2 linked regions of the Ovis aries genome follow. The protein of the gene in region 1 purifies or fractionates together with the protein of each later gene. This does not show direct contact. Links are inferred from orthologs where the notes say so. Each region holds a gene or a part of one and is shown on either strand. Other genes may lie near its edges.

Region 1 (4,959 bases):
ACAGGAACAAGTCCTATTTCCTCTTCCTGTCTGTTGGTCTTTGCCAGAAGTAATGCTTATGACATTATGATCACAGATTTAACTGTTCCTGTCTATTGACCTTAGTTTTGATTATTTCTTACTAAATGAGGCCAGTTGATGGGGATGGGTATTTGAGTAAAACTTGAAGATTCCTCTGTGAGTCCTTGATAAAACATTGCTGATACAATAAGGACATTCTCCTTTTACCTAGGTGGCCTTTTGAAAGCACTTTTTAAAAGCTGGCCATTAAGATAACTTACTCTCCTTTGTTAAATTTACTGTCACAGAAAATGGAGCTCAGAGGTGGTTCCTACTCACATTGCCTTGTTTTGAAAAATAGGTTTTGGTACCTTGGGCAAGGTATGCATGGTCAGGATGAGTTCTCAGTCAGGATCCTAAGCTTATCAGAAGTTGGTCCAGGTTGCTAAGCAGTTTAAGAACTGCTTCATTTAACCTGTGACTTTTCTTTAAGAAAAAAAGAAAGAAAGCAATTTTTGCTCTTACCTTTTAGAAGTAAGGATCCTCTGTCTTCATCGCATTGTGTCTAGCTTTAGCAAACCCTTTTAGGAAGCTGGAGCTAAAATCTCGATCTCTGGTAGCACTCCAAAGAAATAGTTGCCTCTAGTATCTGCTACCCCAGAGTAGACTGAAGAATTCTTTTTAAGCCAGAGAACTTTATTGTTTGTTGAAGAATACCTCCTTTATTCCAATGAAGTTTTGAGAAGTTAAGCCCATCTGCATCCTTTTTTTTCCGCTCTGCATGTATTTGAAGGAGGATCAGCCTACCAGACTATGGAAACTATCACCTTCATAATGGGAGTACCAGAAACTTTTCTAATACCTCTGCATTACTGGGCATATATCTGTGATATCTGTTACAGAGCTAGGCCTCTTTTTCAGTTAACATCTTGGTAGCATTTTCTAAAGTTAACCAGTCCTACTCTAGCCATCCAAAGCAGAAGAAAATGACTCATGGGCTCTTACAAATGATTCTATGTGTTACAATTTACTTGTCCCAGAAAAATGGAAATGATCTGGACCCCTGGTTATTCTCACATGGACACAGACAGTTGATTTTCAGGTGGAGGAAGGGAAGAACCTTGATGCCATACCCCTAATCATTTTTAGTACAGTAGGTCCCTAAGTGCTTCGTGATAGCACTTGGACCATAACAGGCTAAGAACTTGGTATACTGAAAAGAGTATGAAGATCTGGAATCCTGATTTATGTAATCTTGAACAGGTTTCTTCAAGTCTCATATATGAAGTAAAAGTATTTCCTACCGTTTTGATCTGTTGTGAGAGAATACATGTCAAAATGTTTAATAAGCTATAAGTAGCTATAAGCTACTTGTTAGTTTTCTCACTCATTCATCACATACCTTTTGAAGACCTGTTCTGTGCCTGCTGGGCACTGCACCAAGCACTCAGTAATGAAGTAAAGGTGTCACGTGTGGTCCTTCCCTTCCTGGGCCACATGTTGAGTATTTATTTAGGATTGCTTGTGGTTTGATTAGTCCAAACTAGACATATTACCCATATGAGAGAGAATAGAAGCAGGCCGTCTACTCACTGCTTTCTGCCTTCCTAGCTGGCAGAGATGGAAGAGGAACTGCGTTATGCACCCCTATCTTTTCGTAACCCTATGATGTCTAAGCTGCGAACCTACCGGAAGGACCTTGCCAAACTCCATCGGGAAGTGAGAAGTACGCCTTTGACAGCCACTCCTGGGGCCCGAGGAGACATGAAATATGGCACATACGCTGTGGAGAACGAGCATATGGTGAGTTTTAGCCATCTTTGTCCTGTGGGTCTGTGGCACAATGATTAACCAAATTGTGGAGTACAGTTCAAATACTCCACAAGTACGCCTGGTTTTTTCCCTCTTCTTTCTTGCATCCAATTTCCCTTCTCCCCTTGGGTGCCTGCTTCTACTGAATTTAATGCAGATCATTCCAAGCAATTTACCTGTTTAGATTTTTTTGTATCCTTTATGTATAAAACAGTGCTTGATGGGTAGTGGTGATAAACAAGTGTTACCTATTCATATTATACCTGGACTCTAGTCTGATTCACCAATCCAGTTTCTTTCTCACATATCCCCCCAGAGTTCAGTTAAGATTTTAACTTATCAGAGCATTGTTATTTGTATCAAGATGGCCCAATAGCCCAGATACAGTAGAGAAAGCAGGATGCTTCCCAAAAAGGGGGCTGACGCCTTACTTCATCATAATAGAAAGTGAGCCAGGCTGCCTCTCTAGCCTCCAGTGTTCTCATTTATAAAATTAGACTACTAAATTGAAAATGTATATTCTCAAACTGTCTAAAGAAGCTAGGTAGGTAAAGGAGAAAAGCTTCACAAAGGTTAAATTTCATGTGTTACATTTGGGACTATATTCCACAGCACGAAGTAGAAATGGCCTGGCTGGTAATGTGGGAGAGAAGTGGAAGGGGGCCCACTAGTGCAGACTGTATGGATGTAGAAAGGCTGATTAAACAAATCCTGTTTCATGAAGCACCCTCCTAAATATGGCTTAAGAGATATTCAAATGATAGTGGCCTGACATTCCTGATGTGAAAACTAGAGTACTTGAGAATGATGTAAAATTTTCAAAGGAGAGTGGGAAAATGCAGGCAAGTAGCGCTTGTTAAAAGTGAGATGAAAGGTGTACAGTGACTTTGGTCATCTGTGACCCAAAAAGCCCCAAAAACAAAAGGGGGGAAGATAATTCCAAGCAATAATTTTGCTTTAAAATTATTAGTTTCAGAAATTATAAAAACAATATAGGTATATAAAGTACTTTCAGTAGAATTACTGTTCCAAATCTGGGGTTGATTCATGTGACCTTACTGTCTCTCCCTGCTCTTTCTTAAGCCCACTCAGTTGAAAATCCTCATCTTTTATGTTTAAAAATGCTGTTTTCCTGCTGCTTTTAAGCCAGTGTAAACTGGGGTTCATTTCAGCCTTATTCAGTGGTTTCCTCACTCACTCGTCTGTATGCTGTATATGAAGTGAAAAAGCCTTCTTGTTGCTTCTGATCTGGAAACACATCTTTTCAGCTTCTTACTGGTGGTATCGAGTGCTAATGGTCACCTGCTCAGTAACAGGCCTTGTGAGCTGACCCCTTTTCCAGAGTTTGTACGCACGTGTGCTCTGAAGAGCTGAGGACTTAGAGCTGCCTCCATTTCTGTCAGTAGTTATTTCTGGCCTGACAAAGGCTGCTTCGGTCCTCATGCCTCCTGTGCTTAGGAATAGGTGGAATAATACTTTGGTGGAGTTTCAGAAATAGGGCGCTTACTTGGCCCCAGATACTACCTCCCCTGAGAGTAAATCACCAGTGTAACAACTTCAGTATTTGTCTTCTGTGTTTGGCCTGAGGCGAAATTCTTTGGATGCTTACCAAGAGTGTAGCTACTTTTTTCCAGAGAGGAGTAGTCTTTCACACTTTTAAGTGATTTCTGTGTGTGCTAAACACGAATAGCTTATTCTGTGGTCACTCAGTACCAATCAGTGGGAACTTTCAGTGAATTACACTATCTCTAAGGCGGTAGAGTTTAGTTGGTTTACCCTATCAAAATGATAGGATGTATGCATTTTCAGGTAGCTCCTGCATCCCAGATCTGGGCCATTGCCTCTCAGAAGTTGTTAGTCCAGGAAGCACATGAGTCAGTTCAGATTCATCAGGAGCACAAGGAAGATGCTCTGGTGTATTGAATCCTTTCCTTGCCTCACTTACATGTAACAAGCAGTGGACTGGGAGGTATTGTGATCCTAGATTGAACCCCAGGTTCTCTTGTAGTCTGATTCATTAGCATCTTTGATTGTCTTACAAGTAATGAAAATTACTACACATTATATCCCTTCTTATAAATTCATTTATAATGGAAGAAGTCTAACAATTCCCTTCCATACTCCTGTCAGAATCGGCTACAGTCTCAAAGGGCATTGCTTCTGCAAGGCACTGACAGCCTGAACCGGGCCACCCAGAGTATTGAGCGTTCTCATCGTATTGCCGCAGAGACTGACCAGATTGGCTCAGAAATCATAGAAGAGCTGGGGGAGCAACGTGACCAATTGGAACGTACCAAGAATAGAGTAAGTCTGGGTGGATAGGGAGAGGGGCAAAAATGGGGAAAGTAGGTGGGCCCATTACACCCTGATGCTGTCAGAAGCTACCACAGTTCCAAATTCAGGGTATGATTTTTTAGGTTCTTATGCTTTCTCTGTTCGTAATTTGCTTGACTAAAACATATCCCTTGGAAGTAATTTTACTTGTAAGATTTAGAGGTCATTGGGCAGGGGGAGTGAGATTGCATAAAACCCAGTTTCTGCATTTATTGAAGATTGTCAAATAGCATTGTAGCCATACCATCCTTTTATTAGGTCCTGTATTATGAACTAAATTTCTGTCTCTCACACGTCTAGTAGAACACCTGCTATTCTTATGAAAGCCAACATTTGCTTTAAAAGATTCTAGCTTTCCTGTCATTTAGAGCCAAAGCTATTTTCCACATGTCATAAAATAGTACTACCGACAATTTAAAGAGGTTTAATCCTGGACTCTTCTTAACCTAAGGTAAGGGAGATCATGGGCTTCCCTGATGGCTCAGTGGTAAAGAATGCGCCTGCAGTGTAGGAGACACAGGAGACAGAGGTTCGATCCCTGGGTCGGGAAGATCCCCTGGAGTAGGAAACAGCAACCCACTCCAGTATTCTTGCCTAGGAAGTCCCATGGACAGAGGACGTGGCGGGCTACAGTCCATGGGGTCACAGAGTCAGATATGACTGAGCAACTAACACCACTACTGCTACACACTAGGGGAGATCACTGTGAGAAAACAAAATCCTTAGGCCAAATGATGACTATATTGTGGCCTCTATCTACTATCACTCTAAGAGGCTCTGAAAAACAACTTATTTCTTCCTTTCTGTACCATC
Region 2 (4,959 bases), on another chromosome or scaffold:
CCTGGAGAATCCCATGCACAGAGGAGCCTGATGGGCTATAGTCCATAGGGTTGCAAAGAGTCAGACATGACTGAAATGATTGAGCATGCACGCATGCATGGCTTCCATGCCTTCTCCAGGCCTACTACACTCCCCATATCTCCATGTGTTCACTAACCAAGAAGCTCTCTGAACTTCTGGTTACATGAGCATGATTAATTAAATAATTGGCCTTTGGTGATTGATCTAACCTTGAGCCCTCCACCCCTCCCCAGAGGTTGGAATTGGGGCTGAAAGTTCCAATCAACTAAACACCAGGTTGGTTCCCCTGGCAACTAGTCCCCATCCTTAGGGGTTTTTACAAAAGCCAAGCTATTAACATACTTAGGAGTGGTTGAAAGGGTTTGTTTTGAATTAAAAAGGACATCTTTATCTCTTTTATCACTTAGAAAAAAATTTTAGGAGCTCTGTGCTCCGGTTGAGACAAAGATCAAATACATATTTCTTATTATGAATCATAATATCACATCCACGTTATAGCCAAACTGGGCTGTTTGTTCTATGTATATGGCTTCTTAAGTCCTGCCTCTTCTGCCATAGTCTTCCTTCTCTGCTTGAGGTAAATGCTATACCACTTATTAGTCATTTACCATATAATACCCTTTCTTTTAAGTGCTGCACTCAATAATGTCAGCAAATTTGGAAAACTCAGCAGTGGCCACAGGACTGGAAAAGGTCAGTTTTCATTCCAATCCCAAAGAAAGGCAATGCCAAAGAATGCTCAAACCACCGCACAATTGCACTCATCTCACATTCTAATAAAGTAATGCTCAAAACTCTCCAAGCCAGGCTTCAGCAATACGTGAACCGTGAACTTCCTGATGTTCAAGCTGGTTTTAAAAAAGGCAGAGGAACCAGAGATCAAATTGCCAACATCTGCTGGATCATTGAAAAAGCAAGAGAGTTCCAGAAAAACATCTATTTCTGCTTTATTGTGGAGAAGGCAGTGGTACCCCACTCCAGTACTCTTGTCTGGAAAATCCCATGGACGGAGGAGCCTGGTAGGCTGCAGTCCATGGGGTCACTAAGAGTCAGACACGACTGAGCGACTTCATTTTCACTTTTCACTTTCACTTTTCACTTTCACTTTTCACTTTCATGCATTGGAGAAGGAAATGGCAACCTACTCCAGTGTTCTTGCCTGGAGAATCCCAGGGACAGGGGAGCCTGGTGGGTTGCTGTCTATGGGGTCGCACAGAGTTGGACACGACTGAAGCGACTTAGCAGCAGCAGCAGCAGCAGCAGCTGTTTTATTGACTATGCCAAAGCCTTTGACTGTGTGGATCACAATAAACTGGAAAATTCTGAAAGAGATGGGAATACCAGACCACCTGACCGGCATCTTGAGAAACCTATATGCAGGTCAGGAAGCAACAGTTAGGACTGGACATGGAACAACAGACTGGTTCCAAATAGGAAAAGGAGTACGTCAAGGCTGTATATTGTCACCCCGCTTATTTAACTACTATGCAGAGTACATCATGAGAAACGCTGGGCTGGAAGAAGCACAAACTGGAATCAAGATTGCCGGGAGAAATATCAATAACCTCAGATATGCAGATGACATCACCCTTACAGCAGAAAGTGAAGAGAAACTAAAAAGCCTCTTGATGAAAGTGAAAGAGGAGAGTGAAAAAGTTGGCTTAAAGCTCAACATTCAGAAAATGAAGATCATGGCATCCGGTCCCATCACTTCATGGGAAATAGATAGGGAAACAGTGGAAATAGTGTCAGACTTTATTTTGGGGGGCTCCAAAATCACTGCAGATGGTGACTGCAGCCATGAAATTAAAAGACGCTTACTCCTTGGAAGAAAAGTTATGACCAACCTAGACAGCATATTCAAAAGCAGAGACATTACTTTACCAACTAAGGTCCATCTAGTCAAGACTGTGTTTTTTCCAGTAGTCATGTATGGATGTGAGTTGGACTGTGAAGAAGGCTGAGCACCGAAGAATTGATGCTTTTGAACTGTGGTGTTGGAGAAGACTCTTGAGAGTCCCTTGGACTGCAAGGAGATCCAACCAGTCCATTCTGAAGGAGATCAGCCCTGGGATTTCTTTGGAAGGAATGATGCTAAAGCTGAAGCTCCAGTACTTTGGCCACCTCATGAGAAGAGTTGACTCATTGGAAAAGACTCTGATGCTGGGAGGGATTGGGGGCAGGGGGAGAAGGGGACGACAGAGGATGAGATGGCTAGATGGCATCACAGACTCAATGGACGTGAGTCTGAGTGAACTCCGGGAGTTGGTGATGGACAGGGAGGCCTGGTGTGCTGCGATTCATGGGGTCGCAAAGAGTCAGACACGACTGAGCAACTGAACTGAAATGAACTGAACTGAAGAACTTTTTATCTAGTACTTCTGAAAATGCTATGAGATGGGTACTGTCATTGTCCACATTTTAGTAGGGAGGTCCAAAGAAGTTCTCAATTTAAGGTTGAACAAGACTGTGAAGGGTTAACAGTCCTCTGTAACTGATAGGCTCCAAGAGACTGTGCTTCTAATTACCTACCAGCATAGTACTCTGCATACAGAAGTCACTTAGTAAGTGTTAATAATTAACTTTATTTTCATTTTCTGTTTATAGAGAAAGCATGATTTATAAGCTTTAAAAACACATGTGTTATGTTAATAGCCAGAACTTTAGGTAAGTAGAGGAAATGAATCTTCCAACATGTTACTTAATATTGGTTAATTTTTTTGTGTGTATGTTCCTTAGGCTGATATTTTGGATGTCAATCAGATATTTAAAGATTTGGCCATGATGATCCATGACCAAGGTGATATCATTGGTATGTATTATTGATACCTTTAACATAAAGGTGAGTGGATAGTTTTTGTATGCAAAGAAGTCGGTAAGCTGTGTCTTAGGAATCTAGGAATACCATTTAAAAATCACTAAATTCATTTTCTTAGCAATTTTCTTACCTTGTCAAATGTGGAAATTAAACTGAGGCTTCCATGAATAGCCCATTCACTTGCCGTAGCCTCATGTTAAGTCTTTGGCTGTTTAGGGAAATTGCTGTCAGCTTCTCAGTTTTTATCTCCAGAAACTTGCACAACTATGGGATTTGAAACCCTTTTTTAAAAAAACTTTTTATTTGGAAATAATTTCAAGTTCACAAAAAGTTGCAAAAATGAAAATAACAAGGAACTCCTTTATAAGCTTTACTTAGATTTACTTCTTGTTAACATTCTACCCCATTTGCTTTTTATTTGCACTGTTTTTATTTACCTGATTTTTTTCTGAACTGTTGTGGATGATTTACATACTTCATAACCCTCTACCTCTAAATAATTCTTTGGTGTTTATTTCCAAAGAAGAGGGCTGTTCTCTTATGGGGTTGGTAACTTTTGATCTCATGGCTGGATAGTTGGAGTGATGATGGTGAACAGGACCCTTAGCATCAGAATGCTCTTCAGTTTGCAGTCTTGAAACATCCGACTGTGGTAAAACATCCTCTGCCCTTCTCTTTTGCAGACAGCATAGAAGCCAACGTGGAAAGCTCAGAGGTGCATGTAGAAAGAGCCACTGACCAGCTACAGCGAGCTGCTTACTATCAGGTAAAAGCAGGTACAAAAGAAAGTCACTCTGCTGTAGACTCTAGGGGCCATGAGAGTCACTGACACATGGAGAACAGCTGCAGCCGTCTGTTTGGTCTTAAGCTGGAGGCAGGCAGTCGTAATTGCCATCCCAGCCCCATTTTTAGTATTTTCCTTTGCAGAGAGATCTACAAAAAAGGCATCAAACTTTGAATAAACTGACATAAAAGCCTCTTAGCTACAAAGCTATCCCGATAAGCTAGCATGATACCTAATTTGGGGTAAGGCTAATTTTCTAACCTAAACAGATGAAATTTGTTTCAGTTAGGATAGTAATAGGTACAAAGTAGGACTTTGCAGATAATTTATGTTGACTGTTGCCACAGAAAATGGACAGAGGCTCAACTTGGACTGCTGTTTATGTATGAATTAGTTGGCTTATCATATGAGGGTTATTTTGCTGTGAACAAATAGGGGTTAATTGTTCTACTTTCTGTAAAGTGGTATTTTTCTACATATTATTTGAAACTCTGATTTTACGAACTTTATCCGGGTCTTCACCTCAGTTTACACATGTTGTGAATGAGGTCCTTCTCATTTCTCCTCAACCTGGTATTGCATGGGTTTTTAGAAACAAATAGCATTTAGTCATTTACCATGTTCCTAAGATAATTGTACTTCCCCTGGGACTGTTCTTAAAGAAATTGTATTTAACAGTAGTTTCCTTTTAAAAAGTGAGTGATGACTTTAATATCCAACAGTAAAGAACAGTCAAGTAAATTATCTACATCCACTTCATGTTATTTTATGTGGGAATTAAAAGATGTTTATGAAGAGTTTATAATATCACAAATTTTATTCTAAAATATTGAGTGAGAAAACCATCAGACATGATACAGTATGGTTCCAATTTTGTCAGATAAATCTGCCTGGATAAAAGATCAGAAGAAAATACAATTAAAATGTCAGCTGTCTTATCTGTGGGTGATTATTTTCTCTTCTGCTTGTCTGTATTTTTTACAGTGAACATAAAATTTTATAATAGGTATAAAACCTTTATTCAAATATACATGTACAAATAACTTATTTTATGGCAAATAACACCTTGCAACATAAACAGTTCCTTTGCAAAACTGTATTTGGGAGCATTGAATGAGGACTTGCACTGCTGTCTAGCACTGGTACCTTGAGATTTTTGAGAAGGTGTCTGCATAGTCATACACAGTTTAATTTTGCATTACCAGGAGCCCGACTGATGAAGCACTCCTGGAGTTTTATAAACATTTTTTACTTGTTTCATGAGTGTCTTCTTTACATATTTCTCTCCTCAGAAAAAATCTCGCAAGAAGATCTGTATCCTGGTGCTTGTCCTGTC

What was found. The genes of interacting proteins can lie anywhere in the genome.
Region 2: the proteins of VTI1B (region 1) and STX12 purify together in Homo sapiens (affinity purification with mass spectrometry; 3 studies listed by BioGRID and IntAct, counting the BioPlex papers as one, with this or other methods). This does not show direct contact. The link is inferred for Ovis aries from reciprocal best matches to the Homo sapiens genes VTI1B and STX12.

Annotation. Positions count from the first base shown.
Region 1 is NC_056060.1:77,604,504-77,609,462, reverse strand, and holds part of VTI1B (vesicle transport through interaction with t-SNAREs homolog 1B), read left to right. Parts: intron 1-1,611; coding exon 1,612-1,803; intron 1,804-3,942; coding exon 3,943-4,116; intron 4,117-4,959. UniProt on the Homo sapiens protein: V-SNARE that mediates vesicle transport pathways through interactions with t-SNAREs on the target membrane. These interactions are proposed to mediate aspects of the specificity of vesicle trafficking and to promote fusion of the lipid bilayers.
Region 2 is NC_056055.1:239,286,782-239,291,740, reverse strand, and holds part of STX12 (syntaxin-12), read left to right. Parts: intron 1-2,760; coding exon 2,761-2,833; intron 2,834-3,522; coding exon 3,523-3,605; intron 3,606-4,915; coding exon 4,916-4,959. UniProt on the Homo sapiens protein: SNARE promoting fusion of transport vesicles with target membranes. Together with SNARE STX6, promotes movement of vesicles from endosomes to the cell membrane, and may therefore function in the endocytic recycling pathway.